Arabidopsis thaliana: one gene and its partners. The protein of the gene in region 1 interacts with the protein of each later gene in a pairwise test. Each region holds a gene or a part of one and is shown on either strand. Other genes may lie near its edges.

What was found. Proteins that work in one complex are often made in the same cells at the same time.
Region 2: the proteins of GP ALPHA 1 (region 1) and GTG2 interact in a two-hybrid assay, tested with the Arabidopsis thaliana proteins (one study listed by BioGRID).
Region 3: the proteins of GP ALPHA 1 (region 1) and GPCR interact in binary tests that used the Arabidopsis thaliana proteins (3 or more experiments, as listed by UniProt).

The regions. Positions count from the first base shown.
Region 1 is NC_003071.7:11,195,153-11,201,617, reverse strand, and holds GP ALPHA 1 (G protein alpha subunit 1), read right to left. Parts: upstream 4,623-6,465; 5' UTR 4,150-4,622; exon of another isoform or gene 3,798-4,149; intron 3,661-3,797; 5' UTR 3,532-3,660; coding exon 3,472-3,531; intron 3,384-3,471; coding exon 3,311-3,383; intron 3,216-3,310; coding exon 3,178-3,215; intron 3,088-3,177; coding exon 2,998-3,087; intron 2,823-2,997; coding exon 2,745-2,822; intron 2,643-2,744; coding exon 2,535-2,642; intron 2,453-2,534; coding exon 2,351-2,452; intron 2,110-2,350; coding exon 2,054-2,109; intron 1,679-2,053; coding exon 1,544-1,678; intron 1,462-1,543; coding exon 1,368-1,461; intron 1,277-1,367; coding exon 1,217-1,276; intron 1,131-1,216; coding exon 1,051-1,130; intron 974-1,050; coding exon 796-973; 3' UTR 516-795; downstream 1-515. UniProt on the Arabidopsis thaliana protein: Exhibits a fast rate of basal nucleotide exchange. Guanine nucleotide-binding proteins (G proteins) are involved as modulators or transducers in various transmembrane signaling systems.
Region 2 is NC_003075.7:13,791,157-13,799,110, forward strand, and holds GTG2 (GPCR-type G protein 2), read right to left. Parts: upstream 6,001-7,954; 5' UTR 5,878-6,000; coding exon 5,663-5,877; intron 5,475-5,662; coding exon 5,374-5,474; intron 5,039-5,373; coding exon 4,934-5,038; exon of another isoform or gene 4,635-4,933; coding exon of another isoform or gene 4,571-4,634; coding exon 4,450-4,570; intron 4,225-4,449; coding exon 4,095-4,224; intron 3,798-4,094; coding exon 3,719-3,797; intron 3,117-3,718; coding exon 3,045-3,116; intron 2,921-3,044; coding exon 2,832-2,920; intron 2,658-2,831; coding exon 2,565-2,657; intron 2,236-2,564; coding exon 2,209-2,235; intron 2,102-2,208; coding exon 2,015-2,101; intron 1,733-2,014; coding exon 1,661-1,732; coding exon of another isoform or gene 1,637-1,660; exon of another isoform or gene 1,390-1,636; intron 1,204-1,389; coding exon 1,073-1,203; intron 978-1,072; coding exon 824-977; 3' UTR 814-823; exon of another isoform or gene 667-813; 3' UTR 486-666; downstream 1-485. Other genes in the region: AT4G27640 (ARM repeat superfamily protein), read right to left, coding at 6,857-7,057, 7,146-7,250, 7,345-7,480, 7,632-7,744, 7,825-7,920. UniProt on the Arabidopsis thaliana protein: Abscisic acid receptor. The GDP-bound form exhibits greater abscisic acid binding than the GTP-bound form. Required for seedling growth and fertility.
Region 3 is NC_003070.9:19,708,775-19,712,932, forward strand, and holds GPCR (G protein coupled receptor), read right to left. Parts: upstream 2,308-4,158; 5' UTR 2,275-2,307; coding exon 2,104-2,274; intron 1,971-2,103; coding exon 1,792-1,970; intron 1,721-1,791; coding exon 1,609-1,720; intron 1,516-1,608; coding exon 1,399-1,515; intron 1,317-1,398; coding exon 1,002-1,316; intron 925-1,001; coding exon 586-924; 3' UTR 501-585; downstream 1-500. Other genes in the region: AT1G52910 (fiber (DUF1218)), read left to right, coding at 1-43, 123-354; AT1G52930 (Ribosomal RNA processing Brix domain protein), read left to right, coding at 2,487-2,695, 2,794-2,935, 3,270-3,348, 3,525-3,649, 3,745-3,915, 4,000-4,098. UniProt on the Arabidopsis thaliana protein: May play a role in abscisic acid (ABA) signaling.

The DNA of each region.
Region 1 (6,465 bases):
TCCCTAACAAAACCAATTTCGTGATCTTTGAGAGTTTCGTATTAATCAAACTAAGAAGCGATTGTTATCATTATCGTATAACAGAAAAAGCAAAATCAGAACACCATTGGAAGAAAGAGAGAACAACAACATACATGTTTCAGAGGATTGCTCGAAAACGGAATCAAAAACAGAGGAAGAAGAATCAATGAAGCTTTTTTTTTTTTTTGGGATCTATTAACGAAAGAGAAGAAGGAATATTCTTTGACGTAAGAAACAACAACGGCGAAGAGTTTTTTGCTTTCAGGGTTCTTCTTTCTTCGGTGCAATTATTTTTAAAGTCGCTTTTTCGAATGTTCTGAAATCACGGTAGACCCCATGTGTTTTACTTTTATTTCAGTTTTTACATCATATTTTGTATTTGTTCAGTTTCACCCCCATACTTTTTTTTAATGTAAGAACTTTTTCATGTTAGGAACATTCCAAAACTTTTTAGTACTGATAAAGTTACGTTTTGTGTTGTGTTTCACTTTCTAGATTTCGGGATGTGGATGCCTCATTTTAATAATAATATAACCCCAAAAACAAGATCAAAATGAGATGTTTTTGATGAGAAAAAAAAATAAGAAGTCAAAGACAGAGGAATGTTAACAAAAACAATGATAAAATAGAAACTAGTCGTAGCCATCGAGACACATTAGATTTTGAATCGCTAAGTCTTTTGTCCCGAAAGATAAATTACACGGTCATTCAGTTTTCGAGTTTTTCTTATAATAATAAGGAGAGGTAATTTACTAGAGATATGTAATAATAAGGTCATAAAAGGCCAGCCTCCAGTAAATTTCTCCTTCTTAGTGTCTCATCTACGAGCTTGAACGTTTTCTTTACAAGCTTCTGGTCCAAAGCCGTCGTCCTGTAGATTTTGAATACCCTGTCCACTCTATCCGGCGCCGTGTTCTGGTAATATAACTCCTCAAACTTCTTCTTCACAAACCTGAATCCAAATTAAAAATAAGGTCATATAACGGTAACAGTTTGGCGGGAATCAGTAAAGTTTGGAGACAAGCTTACTCGTATGCATGCTCAATCTCTTGTTTCCCACTTGAAACTGGTTGGTAATCTCTGAACCACTCGCAAACGTTCAACGGAACCTATGCACATTGAATAAGAAAGCGTTATTGAACAAAAAGACTTGCTTGCCTATCAAAACAAATAAATATGCTTTAGTTCTTCTTACGTCAAGAACTTTCTTCTCAAATATGTCGAACTTGTTCAAGAACAGCATGAAGGATGTTTTCTGCGTAAAGAGAACCAAGTTTTTGTAACCAAACCCATCTCAAGAGTGTCTTTAAATTTTTAAAAGATGAGATAAAAATGTAACTAAAAACCTCAAAACAGGGTTGTTTCAGGACCCAGTCGAATAATTCCTTGGTCTCCATCATCCTGTTTTTCTGCTCGTCCTCAAAGAGCGTTTGGTCGTACCTATGATCAAAACTCAGTTAATGTTTTGGCAATATGTGGACAGTACGAGGATATCTTATAATTTATAATGAAGTGAGCTTACTCGCTGATGGCAGCACAAAATATCACAGCTGTTACACCTTCAAACAGATGAATCCATTTCCTCCTCTCATTTCTCTGTCCACCCACGTCAAACAATCGGTACACTTCACCACTTTTTTTATTCTCTCCCACAGGGCTGCATAAACGAAGCTTTATCTCATATACCATTTGTGAATTCATCTTTGGTAACGGATCATTACAAGTAGATTCACCACAACAACAAGTTTGATATTGGTATGGAATTCATATGTTCTATTAGTACATCTTAGTGGCAATCATAGGAATCGAATCCGTAAACACTTTTATTCATTTCACCAAATAACTTACACATCGCAGAGAGACTACATTAACAAGATTGTTGCTGAGCTGTTAACACAGCTACTACAAACCGCCTAGCTAATCATATTGCCTAGTGAACCAGACTAACACTTAGAGCTTATCAAACAATTACTCATCTATGAAAGACTAACAATCAAACAGGAAAAAGGGTAAAACAAAAAGTAGTTGGTACCTGAACTGTATTTCCACGACACCAGTTGTGCGAACTCTTGCATAAAGTACATCCTCCTGAAACACCAACATAGAAAAAATGCACCAATGACAACACATTCCGGAAGACACATGTCACAGAAATTGCATATTGACTCTGGTCTCTGAAAATGCTAGCTCAACTAGGCTAATATGGAAAGCAAAAGGCTTCTGTTTGTTAATACATTGATCCTCCGAGGCTGATCCAATGAGTTTTATTCAACCATTTTAAGATCATTACTTGAAATGTTTTCAACAAAGAATGATACTTTGGTTATACCTTAGTTGGAATATAATTTATATCTGATAGTCTCTTCAAGTTCTCCATCAGATATTTCGTACAATCAGGAACCTGAAGCTCATTACCACGAGCACAAGTTTCCTACAAAATGAAACGTTTAAATCATGTATTCAACTTTGAGTGCAATAGTAAATAAAACGTGCACACACACACACAAACACACCTGAATTGCAGGATCCTTCCATAGTGTTTCTATTCCCTCAGCGATGTCCTTGGTAAGACGTGGATAGTCTAACCTACCACCAATCTCAGATAGTTTCTCCCCAATTGCCTGATATTACGATAATAAGTTGACTACCATAAGACAAGGTACTCACAAGACTCAAAACTCTAACAAAGACAGCTCAAGTGACCTATGAATCTAACCACTTACAATACTTTCAGAAGATAACATATATTTAGCAGAATCTGTTTCATTTTGAGCAAACTCCTTTGTTCCATCATGCAATAACTGTTCAACAATATAGAGTAGCTATTAAGCTACATGTACAATATACCAAGATCAACATATGAAAAAAATTTGATTACTCATATAAATGATTCTCTAGATTGTAAATCCAAAAGAACTCGAAAACACCGCCAATTAGAAGGATAAAACCGACACAGTCATTTCAAGTATTGCATACTTTTATAGTCTGATAGACATTGGCATGAATGACTGGAACATAGCTCTTTAGTTCTCCTTCATCAAATCCCGTTTGGAATAGAAGTTTTATCTGCAAATTAGTAAATTTGTATCATTCAATTAGCAGGATTCATAAGTAAATTTAAGTAAAGAGTACAATCAATTTTCCTTGTGGACTTGCCTGCTTAAAAATTGTAGATTTTCCAGATTCCCCAGCACCTTTACAAAACACAAGTCAGAAAATTAGAGGAAAACTATTACCAAAAGATTCATCAAGGCATGCCATTCACATTTCTAATCCAAGGTCTACATACCAAGTAGCAAAAGCTTCCGAATATGCTTTTCAGCCTTTGCTTCTTGCTCTATCCGTCTTTCGATTTCAGCAGCCTGTAGATTAATACAAACCAAGTTAACTCTTGAAGTATCAGAAATAATGCTCCCATACATCGAGTGTTACAAGAGCTCTTAAGTCAACCTGTGTATTCTCATCAGTATCTTCAGTATGATGTCGACTTCTACTGCAGAGTAAGCCCATGATTGTTTCTATATCCCCACAGGTAATAACATAGAAGTCGAAAACTATCAAGATTCAAGCTCCACAGCTAAAAACAAATACTTGAGCTTCCAGCTACAGTTGCTTCTCATAACAAGACAATGCCTACACCTACTTATGAAACAATCAATACTTTAGCTCAAAATTCATAAATATACATAAAGTTTCACTCACCAAAATAGCAAACATGTTCAAAGAATGCAAGTAAGAAAAAGCATTAAACTTTATAATATATACTGGATTAGTACCTCTCAAATGAAACAAGTTCAGTAGTTAAGAAAATGAGCTCTAAAAGTCGAGTAGCTAACACCATTAAGAAATTCAAAAACTGTGAGATAGCAAATCAAGTAATAGATAGAGTTCACACTTGAACTGCTATAATCAGATCCAAAGAATCATAATTTTCATTTCCAATCTACAGTAACGACGAACTGATCTACAAAACCCTAAACTTGAAAAACAAAACCAATTCGAAACGAAACAGAAAAACAACAGAACAAGGAGGAGAACTAGGACAAGATCTGAGTAATAAAAAACAAAACTTTCATAAAACCCAAAAGAGTAAATTTGGGGTAAGAAGAAAAGTAAAGTAGAATTCACCTGAAGAAGAAAAAGAAATGGAGTCAAAGGTAGTGAAGAAGATATCGGAGTTCGCAAACAAGAAGAAGAAGAAGAAGAAGAAAGTACAAAACAAGGTCTGAGAAGAGAGCAGAAGAAGAAGAAGTAGTACTTCTGCTTCTCCTGTTTCTATTATTGTTTTACCACTTTCTTTCCGCTTTAATGTTTTTGCTTCACTCTTTTGGATTTATTCTCTCCTTTTTATTATAAATACATAAAATGCAAATTATGAATTTAATTAAAAATAAAATAAAAATGGATATATTTTTAATATTTGGTCAAAAAGAAAGAAAGAAAATGTTAAGCAAAGGGGAAGACGAAATTACGCCGAAAGGTCCTGAGAGAGAGAGAGAGAGAGTGGTCAAATGTTGAAAAAAGATGTGCCTCTCGTGACGATAAAGAAGATTAATTACGGAACCTATATGCATTTTTATTTTATATACTATTAAGTTAACCATTATTGGAAGAGAATTACTAAGTGTGGCAAGACAAAACAAATTTGGAATTTTATGACATCAAGTCCTTGTATCGAAATATCTTGATTTTTGCTTTGCAGTTGCATTACAAGCTGGACTCTACTTATATCTAGAATGGGTTTTGCTAGCTTAGGAAATATATTGCAGTTTTGATTTAGGAAAGAAAATAAAGATTCAAAATCGATAAAAACACAACATATCATATAGTACTTTAAATCTTCAACCTACAAAAACATCACATCCGTTAAATCCTTACAATCATTAACATCGACTTGAACTTCTCACAAAATGTTTCCACTGAGAAACGGTCTTGGCGAGTGATGGTATATTTATTGGTTGGGCTTAAATATATTTCAGATGCAAAACCATATTGAATCAATAAATTATAAATACATAGCTTCCCTAACCACTTAAACCACCAGCTACAAAACCAATAAACCCGATCAATCATTATGTTTTCATAGGATTTCCTGAACATACATTAAATTATTTTTCATTTTCTTGGTGCTCTTTTCTGTCTTATTCACGTTTTAATGGACATAATCGGTTTCATATTGTAAATCTCTTTAACCTAACGAACAATTTAATGACCCTAGTAATAGGATAAGAAGGTCGTGAAAAATGAACGAGAAAAAACCCACCAAAACACTATATAAGAAAGACCGAAAAAGTAAAAAGGGTGAGCCATAAACCAAAAACCTTACCAGATGTTGTCAAAGAACAAAAATCATCATCCATGATTAACCTACGCTTCACTACTAAGACAAGGCGATTGTGTCCCGGTTGAAAAGGTTGTAAAACAGTTTGAGGATGCTACAAAAGTGGATGTTAAGTATGAAGCGGCTAAGGTTTTGGATTTGGTCTAGGAGCACATTGGTTAAGCAATATCTTCGGTGGAGATTGAGTTTTTAGAGATAGTAGATACTAATTCATCTATGGAGACATGCAAATTCATCAAAATGCTTGGATGAATTAGAAAAACTAGGTGGAGAATACAGTAAAAAAATTCAAAAAGTGCATATTGTTTGGACAACATTAATATGTACAAATAGTTTACATTTAAATGTATTATTTTACTAATTAAGTACATATAAAGTTGCTAAACTAAACTAATATAATTTTTGCATAAGTAAATTTATCGTTAAAAGTTTTCTTTCTAGCCACTAAACAACAATACAAAATCGCCCAAGTCACCCATTAATTAATTTAGAAGTGAAAAACAAAATCTTAATTATATGGACGATCTTGTCTACCATATTTCAAGGGCTACAGGCCTACAGCCGCCGAATAAATCTTACCAGCCTTAAACCAGAACAACGGCAAATAAGTTCATGTGGCGGCTGGTGATGATTCACAATTTCCCCGACAGTTCTATGATAATGAAACTATATAATTATTGTACGTACATACATGCATGCGACGAACAACACTTCAATTTAATTGTTAGTATTAAATTACATTTATAGTGAAGTATGTTGGGACGATTAGACGGATACAATGCACTTATGTTCTCCGGAAAATGAATCATTTGTGTTCAGAGCATGACTCCAAGAGTCAAAAAAGTTATTAAATTTATTTGAATTTAAAACTTAAAAATAGTGTAATTTTTAACCACCCGCTGCCGCAAACGTTGGCGGAAGAATACGCGGTGTTAAACAATTTTTGTGATCGTTGTCAAACATTTGTAACCGCAATCTCTACTGCACAATCTGTTACGTTTACAATTTACAAGTTAGTATAGAAGAACGTTCGTACCTGAAGACCAACCGACCTTTAGTTATTGAATAAATGATTATTTAGTTAAGAGTAACAAAATCAATGG
Region 2 (7,954 bases), on another chromosome or scaffold:
TCCTTCATGATTTTGTATAATGTAAGTAACAGTTGATTTAACCTATTTCACAAATAAAAAGTAACGATTAAGAAATGAGATTAATATAGGATCAAGATTACGACAAAACGAAGGATACATTTCTCTTTATTGGCGGCAGTGACTCTTGGTGATCAGATGACAGAGGTTATCTCATTCCTAGAGAATGTAAATTTGTTCTCAACCTATGCACTACTACTGCACTAAGAAGTTGTAAATTATTCTATATATATATTTCTTTAGATTTATCTTCGTTGTTTTCTATGAATGTATTTTGGAATTGAAAATCCTTGGACTGGATACAATGTGACATTGAAGTCAATTACATGCATATAATCAACCGAAGCAGATATTGAACCTAACACACGTACCAACTCCTTCTCTACCACAATAATCTCTCACACCGAATCAACCAAAAAAAAAAAACAGTCATTTTCGGTTAATGCCTCATTAAATCATTGTGGCCACTACTCTTTTTCTTTTTCTTTTCCTTTCTTTTTTGTGTGTGTATGTGTTTCTTAAAGTACTGCATGAAAAATAATGTATGCATATAAATAAGGTAGAGATCTATTGAATTTTATATCAGATATATATTATTGAATGGTAAAACCCCAAAGTCTCATTCTCTTTACAACTAATCACACACACCTGAGGAAGAAAAAAAAACAACAACTCAAGACTGATCCTTTCAAAGCAAGAAAATGTACATAAGTCAACGCTAAGTAGTGGTCATTGTTTCAAGTTTTTCATCTAGATCAAAATTTAATCAACCACCTCATTTGCAAGGGAACTCACAGATGCTTGCTTAGTCTATTGGGTGCTTATCAATTTGACGAGATGTGTAGTGCGCAGAAAGCAGAAGCAGAGAAAGAAAAGCGCTAGCCACGAATATTGCATCAAACCATCGATGATAGAAATCAAACTGAATATCTCCGCCTAATACATCTGTTATTATCCCTCTGTGCCAACAAAAACACCATTCGATTATAATCCACATTTCATCTTTTCAACAGAAGAACGGTTGTAATTATTGTTATAGTATTATCTTACGTACCTGTACTCATTTCTCAAGCTTTTTCTTATAAGAAGAATGGAAGACAAAAAGTACATTCCCATGATTTCTGATAGGAAGAGCACAACATTGCTTGAAGATCCACTTCCAACCCTCGACACTGCAAAGAAGAACTGTACAAGCGAATTGAAAAAAAACTCCCCAATTCAATCACCAAAACGTTTAACAGTATTCAAAACAAAAGCTTTCAGTATATTGCGAGTTACAATTACTTAGATGTAAAATCACTATACTAATGCCAACCAAGAAAGTAGCCTCTGTTTTTATGATCAGACTGAAATTACATTGAGTTGTTCTGTAATGCTACTGCAACAAATACGTTAATTCAATCACTCTACATCTTCCACTCTTAGGATATACATCATATATACTTTGCTTAAGTAACTATGTGACTGTCACAAGGAAAGTTAGCACCAGCTAAAAGAAGTGAAAGCCTCCGTCTAATATTTAAACATGATAATGCCAGAGCAAGTTTTCCATTGACACTATATAGCTCCAAAACAAGTGGATAACATACAAGATCGTATAAAGACGAATGGGAGAAATTTAAAAGCTGAAATCAGAACTCACCTTCATCAGATTCGTCAAGAATCCCCTCACTGATATCACGATCAACATCCCAATAAATAACAGGGAAATATACTGAAAATAATAAACAAAGAGAGAGCATCAGACCTACATAAGGTAAGTTGAGAACCATATAAGCATCAAGATAAAAAGCCATCTAGTGTAACAAGGTCTAAGAAATGAGAAAATTCACATCCCATCAAAGGCCCTATGAAACTAGAGTTATTAATTGAGAAACAATAATCCTATAGCTTTTCATCTGGACGATATGTTGTAAGGAGAAAGAATATTAACAAGCCTGCTTGCAATTCTTTGAATCTACTACTCCATACAACAAAAATCCAAAGTCACACAAACCTGTGAGAGCAATGCTGCATCTACTCCTATATCAAAGAACTGCAAGAATATGCTGATCATCATCGTGACAGGATCTTTCGTGCCCGCCTGTAAACAAGCTAATCACTATTCCATGTCGTAAAAAGTAAACAAATGATGATAACGCTGCAAGAATTTATTGTAAAGTGTATAAGAAAACATGGACAAGAGAATACCTCCTTGAAAACGACACTTTGTAGAGACTGCAGATAAGACAAACGAAAAATAGAGAAGTTAGAAATACTAGTTCACAGTTACAAACTTACAATAGACAAAACATTTGACAAGAGATATAGGAGATATTTTCATCTAATAAACCATTACTGGTCTCAGAACAGCTCTCTTTTCAAAGAAGTAAAGAAGTTCAGACAAAGAAACTCCTTAATTTTTGAACTCTGCATCAATCTATAACAAAAACTAACACTGCCATTGTCACATCCATGCGGAAGAGTTTGACATAGTCTTGCAATGCTAGGATAACATAGAGTTAAAATTACTAAAGGCTAGCACCTCACATAAAGACAAAACAAACCTTTAACATCTTATACACACAGTAAATGGAACACGCATAGCCAAGAAAGTTCTGCACATGACCCTTCCAAGTTCGAGAAAAAGCAGCAGCATCCTGCAAATGAAATGAAGTAAGATAAGTGCTTATCAAATGTTTATATTACTACGTAACAAGACCACCAGGTAATAACCTAGGTAATAAGTAATTTAGTCGAAGATGTCATTGCCATGCTGATGAGTAAATTCGGTATTTAAATTAAAAATTAACGGAAAAGTACTGGAAGGGAACCTTTGCTTGGCGGAGTTCATAAATTTCCAAGAATAGCTGCTTTGACAGCTCTTCTAAACCTTCCACCTCTGCCTCCATTAGTTTTATATCTGCATAAGAAAAACATTCATGAATTTAGGGAGATATCACTAGAAAGTATAGAACTTAGATCTCATCTTATTATGTGTATGCACACATAAAATGTTAAAAGGAAAATAAGTAGTCCTATGCTACCTATGATCTGGCAACAGGGGGAAAACTGTAATAACTCAACAACTTTATTATCCCAACAATAGACGAGCTGAACTGATCTCAAGTCACTCGAATACTTCTTTACTAAATTAAAGGTCTCATTTGTACCGTAAAGTTTTTATGTAAGTACCCCTCTTTGGTAAGAAAGCTACTGTTCTGCAATTCTTCTTTTTCTTCATGTTGTTGGTTTAACCACTGAACTACTAGTACATCGCCACAACTAAATAGTAAAAGTACTGTAACCTCATTCTCTTTCTACTCTAGCCAACACCACCAAACATGAGCAAACCATCCTCGTGCTTTACATTCTTAAGAATCTTAGTTCTCTGTTTCCTACTACAATATTCAACATTTTCCTAACGGTGGATGATGATTTCCTGATGACGCGAAAATAATAAAAAAAAATCAGAGTAGTCTGTACTTTATTTTTCGTTCTGCTCTTTACAACTGGCAAGCAAGACATAGAGTAAGGAGCTCATGAGAAACCAACATACTTTCAAGTCATCTAGATTTTTCCAGCTCACAGAGACAAGGTGACAATTCAGATGGTTTATTTCACAAAAGAGAGACAAAGATAATGCACATGTAAGATCACTCGTAGAGAGATAATGTTGTGCAGGCACAACTGCGTCTAAAACTAAATTATATAAACTGACCTTGCTCCTTTTGGTCATCTTGAACCGACCGCACAACAGTCCCGACAAATCTTCTAAAGAAAGATTTACCCTTTTGATGCTGGAAGCCAAAAGCACCAGATGATTACTTCCTAAGCTAATTTCAGAATTAGAAAAAGCATAATTACGAAATATCTCTTATCAGTCTATGGCATTCAAACTGATGCATGGATAAGGAAGTATTTTGATAAAGGAAAAAAAAGGGGGTCATTTCAGAGTCTGAAGAGCATTTTGATACAGAAGTACAGAAATAAACAGATCTGATACGAATCCTAACCCAATACAGAATGTTAAAGAGTATAAAAATCTAAGGTACAATCACGTATTGCGTACGCTAATATATAAGACAGAATCATACCTCTTCTGATACTAGACTTCGTTCCACCTCAACTTGACATAAAAGAATTTTCTTCTTCTTAGCTATGCAAGTCTCCATTGATTGCATCAGTTGCCTTTCCAGCGATTTTATTTCTGATTCTTCAATCTCCCTATATGTTTCCAGAGAGAAAGAGAGACAGGAAAACGTGCAGTTAGATCACAAATTTCCCAATCCAGCTGCTCTTCTATCAGTGTAGATCCATTTACATCACAGAAGATGAAAAGCTTCATTCAGAGTTCAACTACTTCGAATCAAAATCCTCAAAACCATTTGCAATAAGAATAACGCACAAGGTAGAAGAAGAAAATCTACTAGCAATTATAGAGGGAAGTACCTAATAAAGAGCGATATATAACTGTAGGGCAAATTTACAGCTCCAAAACCCGATAAGACGGCCATGAGGGTCACACCAATGACCCCGATTCTGCTGACCAGCTGAGGCATTGAAAAGAAACCTTTCAAGATAAAAGGGTGTTTAAGTAAAGTAGTCCAACAAGTGGGTGACAAGATCTTAAGCATTTAAAATAAAAAGAACCAAAAGCGTTTGTATATACAAAAGCTACTGTCACAAGCATAAAGAAGGGAGGATGATTGACCCTGCGAATTTCTTCTGACGGTATTTTCTACAGTCAGGCAATCATAGTCAGTGTCAACATGCTCAGATTCTCATTTCAATTTAAAACAACATACCCTACTCCACACATCCAGAAGTACACATTGTTCATAATAATGTTAATAAGATCTAACTTCAACTTCAACTTCCTTCTTGCTTATACAGAGTTGAAAGGAGAAAGAGGGTGCATAAACTCAAGAGGTACCTTTGTCTGAAGGCATAGGAAAATGTATTCCCATGCGCCAGAAAGCATAAAGGAACGCTGTCAAGAATAACAAGGCCCCAACAGCAGCACGCTCTCTTCTTACACCTGAAATGATGGTTTTAGGTAAATATAAAAATTAACAACAGCCAAATCAAATTTCTGTAACATGTGGTGCTACGATGTTTAATCAAAAAAACGAAAGAAGGAAGGATTAACGCCATAAGGCAATGAAAAATTGCTTATACATATTCATCAGCAAATAAATTTAATCCCAAAATGTAACAGAATGTCAATTATCAGGCCTCATACTATTTCTAAAAGATAAATTGATAAAGCAATAGATCGTCCATCATATAACATACAAACCATTTTAATAATTCCTAGGAAGCCTGAAAAGAAAAGGAAAGATGAAGAACATCGATAGCAAGGAAAAGGCTTACCAGTGTTACGAAGCATCAAATAGCAATGATAATAAGGTAACATGAAAACAAGGAGCACTATCAAACAAAAGAGATCCACCTTCCAGTTTACCATCCTTGCCCTGCAAACAAAGATAAACCTCAATAGAAAGTACTAATGGTGTCATGATAAAAAGAAATTATTGGTGTCTAAAATCAAAATGATGCAATTCCCGAAGCTCAATGACTGTATTCACAACACTTTCATATTATGTAAAATGACAAATTCCATCTATAAACCAAAACTTGCTACTCGAATTTGAAAGCTTACTCTCTAGATAAAACAGGGATGATTTCGAAGAGAACAAGCTGTAAAAGGTTGCAAGAGAAGGCGAAGACGACGCTGAAAATGATTTGAACCAAAGCTCGCTTCTCTTCGTACTCTTTGTAAAGCCTCCGGTTGAGAAACCATAGACCAGCCGATCCTAAGAGACACAGAGATCCAATCACCAACATTCCCTCGAAGATCCCCCATCCGTAACCCATCTCTCTCTAATAAGGAAACAAAACTCAGATCTCTTTCTCTCTACCCCAACACTCTCATCAGAGTCTCAAGCTTCCGCTATTCGACTGAATTTGCCGACGAACGGTGGTTCCTTTGCTTTTCATCAGAATCCCAAATTTGGTTTTTGTATTAAACCACACTAAACCGTATCTCCGTACCAATTATTTATTATTTAGTTTTGCGCGACTGATTTCCGGTTCAACCACCCGAATCATGCCTCGTTCCCGCCAAATAGGATTTAGTTCCCACTTCCCATTAACAAAGCTAAAACTATTAAACTCTTGCCGTTTCGCAACGGCCCAGAAAGACCAACAAATATATAACCTAATCTGTTGCGCCATCTTCCAGAGTAAAACACCTTCCCTAAAGAACAAGTACAAGAAATGGAGAAGACAACGACTACGACGTCGTCGAACATGAAGAAGAAGAAGCTGTCGTCGACGCAGGCTATTTGCTAAAGCTGCAAGTTTTGTTTGTCTCCGAGGACAGGTTTCAAAGAAAATTCCGTGTGCATGGACCAAAATAGTTGAACTAGGAAAGGCTCATGCAAAATAGTTGATGCCCTCGTTTTGCGATGGCAAAGAAGATAACGTACGTACTCATTTGCAATTATGTATACTCAATTTTATCAAGGCCAAAATAAAATATTGTATGTCAAAATACAAATACAGATACTCCACTGATCCACTCAAAGCTTGCAAACTTTGAATTGAAGACTATAAATAAGTGGAGAAAATGAAATAAACAATGAGGACGAAACTCTGAAGTAAGGAACATATAGCCAAGCCAAAACAGGAATACACCCACTTACCCTCAAATGCTAAAATTGGATATTTAGGAAAGAAGAAGAAAAAAAAACAAGATTTGAGACTCAATTGAGCAAAGAATAGACTTCAAAAGAAAAACAAAAGCTGAAGACAGTTTTCGCTTCTGAGATATTAAATATATCACAAGCGACAATCAACTCGTGGATGCAAACGCAGCGAGAACGTTAGCTTGAGAAGGCGGTAGACTACTTATTATTGGCTGCAACTGATTCCCATAAACCGAGATTAGATGGGAGAAAGTTCTGCCTACAATTGCTTTCACTTCAACTTTTTCGACTGGCGACTCCAATACTTGCCCAAAGATTTTAACCAGCTCCGGAACATGAGAGAAGATCTGATTTTGCATCCAAGCAAAACAATTTTATCAAATTAACCTTAGTAATGTTTAGCCAAAGGTGAAAATATTGCCTTGAGAAAACTACCTGTGGATTGGATGACGAAACAAGGGAATATATACAGGTGTAAACAGCCATGGACTCCTCTTGATCTTCCTTTAGAGGTAGACCTCTTAAGAACACTGGAAGTACCTGGATTATATAACTTAGGGATGAGTACCGTGTTTCATAAGGTTTCAGGAAGTAAGCAAAAATACATGAAAATGGCCTAGCTCCTAGATCATACTTGATTTAGCGGGACTAGTTGAGGATGAACAACAATCATCCTTGCGGTAGCACCTGCTGCATTATCCCTAACAGCAAGGTCTGGTTCTGAATCCCCGAAAAGTGGGGAAATTCCGCGTAGCACATCACCAAAATATCTGGTATTGAGTCAAAGGGAGACAAGTATCGCATGGACTGACAATTCTCATATTCTTCCAAAACAGAAGGACGATGAATGAGCATAGAAATCAATGGATAAAAGTCTTTACGACTAGAGTAGAGTTGAAGCATGTAACACGAAAAGGATACTTAAGAGCAGTTTCACCCCCGTTTTTGCATAGCTCTCCAACACAGAAAGCTGCATTCCTTCTATTGGTTGCTTCTGGTGACCCCAACTCTTTGAGCACCAAAGGCATTAATCTCTGCAAGAGAATTACCCCCAATAGTTGGTTTAATAAGGCTCAAACACCAATCATAGAGAACATCAGATGAGGAAACGTACATCAACATAGGAAGAGATTGGAAGACCCATGTCTTGAGCAACCTCAGCAAGACTAGCAACTACCATTGTCCTATCCTGTGGAGGACGTGAAGCTTTCTACAGACACAAGAAGTGAAACAGTAAGTGCCTA
Region 3 (4,158 bases), on another chromosome or scaffold:
GTGGTTCAAGAGCTTGTGGCATTATGCTCTTCCTTATTTGCTGGTAAAACTCTATACTTAACACAATCTCTATAATTTATGACTTTGACTTGACACATCATTCTACACTTGGTTTTGAACAGGGTGTTTTTCTTGATTGCTGAGGTATGTTTGCTCGCGGGATCAATCAGAAACGCGTACCACACTACGTACAGAAGGATGTGGAACATCGAAAACCCTCCTAGCTGTGAAGTGATCCGTAAAGGAGTGTTTGCTGCTGGTGCTTCCTTTGCTCTCTTCACTGCTATTGTCTCTCAGTTCTATTACATCTCCTATTCTCGTGCCCGAGACGGTTACCAAACCCCACATTACTAGTGAGTAGTGAGATCCAGAACAAGAAAAGCTAAACCCTGAATGAGTTTGTCCATTTATCCACTCACTGATCAATAGGATATTAAAATTTGATGATGTTAGTCATTTTGCTTCTTGCTTGTATCACAATTGTTTTTTTTTGTTTTCTTGTGATGTATAAAATCTTATTAATATAGACAGCTATTCTACATTTCAGTATCTAAGCTTATTGTTACAGTGTAAGTTTTATACATTTTAGAGTTCATAACCTGGAAACAGAGCTTGTGTTGGATCATTCATGTCGAGTAACATGTAGGCCATTCCTCCGATACCTTCAAAGAGAGAGAAGGGTCTATCTCCTCCATGCATTTGACCTTCTGAGATTAACTTCTCTGATTTATCGAGTAGGAAAGACGCGAAAGCTTTAGCGCGGTACAAATACTTTGGGTTTCTTGTTAACCGGTATAGAGAAAGAAACACGTATGTGTTTCCGCTGATACCGTGACAGATTCCTACTCGTTTAAGCAATCCACGGCTCCACACAACTTCTCCTGCCTCCATTGCTGCCTCTACAAATTCCTTAGTGTTATAAACCTGACGATATCCAGAAAATGAGTTTTGCATTGTGGTTTTACTTACTGATAAGAGTACTTCAATCAACAAATGATTACCTGAGCTGCCTTTACAAGTGTGAGAGCAACACCAGGAGCACCGTGACACCAGTGAACAAGGCGATCTGATTTGCTTCCTTCACTAGATAGGTAATTCCCGCTAGGAAAACGGTTTTGTATCATATAGCTTAGTGTACCTTTGACATCTTTGATTTCATCTGGTTCAAGTTCCGTATGCATCAAAACATTCATGATCCCAGCTAAACCGTGTGCAGCCCCCCAGTACCTCTTCCCGTGCCACTCATACATCAATGGACAAGTTCCTTTATTCCCGAGTTGTCTTCCTGCCCTGAAGATTTCCTCAACCACTGATCTCTGAAGATATAGAGATATCATAAAATCTTGAACTTTCTTGAGTAAGTCAATTAACCAAAGAAATTTTATAACTTTATTATACCATTCGTTCAGATGATATACTCTCCTGACCAATATGCTTATTCAAGAACAAACACGCCCACAAGTATCCTGCTCTACCATATAGCAACTCATATGGCAAGTCACTAGGAAGCCTAATCTGTTAAACAGATCAAAGTTGCAACACTCAAGCAAAGTATAGAACAAGTTATCTATTTTCACTAGAGCAAAAGAAACTGTAATTAGTAATTACCCCTCGGAAACGGGCTAAGTAACGATCATATAACTGGTCATCACCTAAACACTTCGCTGCAACAGCACCAAGAGCACATACACCAGCATAGCCACATATAAATGTCACTCGCCTGATAGAAACCACAATCATTACCCCGAAATGAATTCATGAAAATTGGATCATTGAAGAAAATTCACTTACTCAGAATCTCTTGAAGCTACATCACAAGCTTCAACATTCTCTAAGCATAGCTTAAGATCATCTTCATTTCTAGTAACCTGATAAGATTTGAACAAGAGATAAGCTGTCCCAAGAACTCCAGTATACAAGTTATAATCTCGAACACGTTTTCCAGATCGTTCCCATGTCTCCCAGACTACCTAAAACAGAATCACCACACAAACAAGAGAAAACACAACTTCACTAGACTAAAGAAAAGTCATAAATTCATTATAACTACATAACTTCATTATAACTCAAAATCATATATAATCAAATTGAAAAGTGAGTTACTTTATCTTTGATGCTTAGAGCATATCTGTGAAGCTTCTCTGAGAATGATTTGTACGGAAGTGATAGCAGTTTCGTCAACGAATCTTTACATTCGGTAACAGTTTCTTCTTCTCCGGATAAATCTTCCGGTACAAACTCCGGCATCTCATTTCGGAAAAACCGTTCTCCCATATCTCTCTTTCTCTCAGCGGTTGCTGCAGAGGACCGCGAAGAACAGAGACTAACGACGAAGTGACGAAGTGACACATCGTTACCATTATTAATGGGCCTTAAGTTAAGCCCAATAATGACCGGCCCATGATTTTTTCTCTCTGTTTCGTCTCTGACCTTAAAACACTTGCTAAAACCCTAGAGAAAACGTCTCTACGCGGAAAAACAAAAAAATGGGGAGGAAGCGGAAGCACAGTGAGACGGAAGCTCCGGCGCCGGTGAAAAAGAGCGATGAGCCTGCTCCGGATAGACCCAAAAGGACTCTATTGGGATGGAAAGATAAGAGTGAAGGTGAAGCTGAGAAAGCTAAAGCTTTGACTTCATCTGGATTCAAGAACAAAGAGAAGGTTTTGGTGACTTGTTCTCGTCGTATCAGTTTCAGGTTGAGTTTAAATTGCTAAATTTGTTTCCTTTCTTTTGGTTTTGATTTCGTTTTTAGGGTTTGAAATTGATTTGTTTATTGGGGATTTTTGTGTGAAGGTATCGGAGTTTGATGTTGAACATTGTTTCACTTCTACCACACTGTAAGAAAGACAGTAAAGTTGAAGCAAAGAGTAGCAAAGGCGCGACTTTGAATGAGCTCATTGAGCTTAAGAATTCTAATTCCTGCTTGTTCTTCGAGGTAAAGTTTCCATCTTACTTATTTCTAGGCTTAGTTTTTGTTCCATGTAGTCAGATTTGTTCCTTTACTGTGGAATGTTTGACTCAAAAGTCAAACCTCAGAAACTTGTGATTAGAATACTCGATGGAAGCTTATGTATATGCATATTGATGCAAATGGACAATCTTTGACTCTATTGGTATTTAGTATTTGTTCCATGTCATCAAAATTTGATAGTTATCCCAAATTGTTAGGGTTTGGTTTGTTGTGGAAGCTTAATATATGCATATTGATGTAAATGTACAATCTCTGAATGTATTGGTTGATTTGTATTTGTTTATGTTTCCATTTTCAGTGTAGGAAACATAAAGATCTTTACATGTGGATGGTCAAATCCCCTAATGGACCATCTGTGAAGTTTTTGGTTAAAGCTGGTAAGAGTCGAGATCCTCTGACTTTAGTTTAAGTGGCAAGAGCTGATAGATCTAGTCACGTATTTAGCTATGATGGGTTCAATCAGCTTGTGTCTTGTTCTATATCTGAGTTCTGTTTCTGTAACTATGTATTTTTTGGTAAAAGGATTTTTACTTTTGTTCTCTGTATATTGAAGTGCACGCAATGGAAGAGATGAAACTCACTGGAAATCATCTCAAAGGGTCACGTCCACTTTTGACATTCTCATCCAATTTTGATAAAGATGCGCACTGGAAACTCTTGAAGGAGATGCTTACTCAGGTTGTTGCCAGATTCATATCCTTGGATAATGTTTTTGGTCCATTAGTTCTCAAGACTTTCACATCCTAATTAGTTTTGTTTTGTTTATCTCTCAGGTCTTCGGAATTCCTAAGGAACACAGGAAATCTAAGCCTTACCATGACCATGTATTTGTCTTTTCAATTGTTGATGAGCATATATGGTTCCGAAATTACCAGATTTCGGTTCCTCACAATGAGTCAGATAAAATTGCAAAAGGTGGCCTGGATAAAATGACCCTTATCGAGGTTTGTGGACAAAGAGTTACAAACTTTTAATAATAGTCTTTCGACCATGGTTTTTGATTGAAATGGATACACTATTGACAACAGGTTGGTCCAAGGTTTTGTCTGAATCCAATCAAGATATTCGCGGGCAGCTTTGGAGGTCCTACTCTTTATGAGAACCCGTTATACGTATCTCCAAACCAGGTATCATTGATTAATCTCTTATTTGCAAGCAAAAGATATAACCAAATGAATCTTAGAACT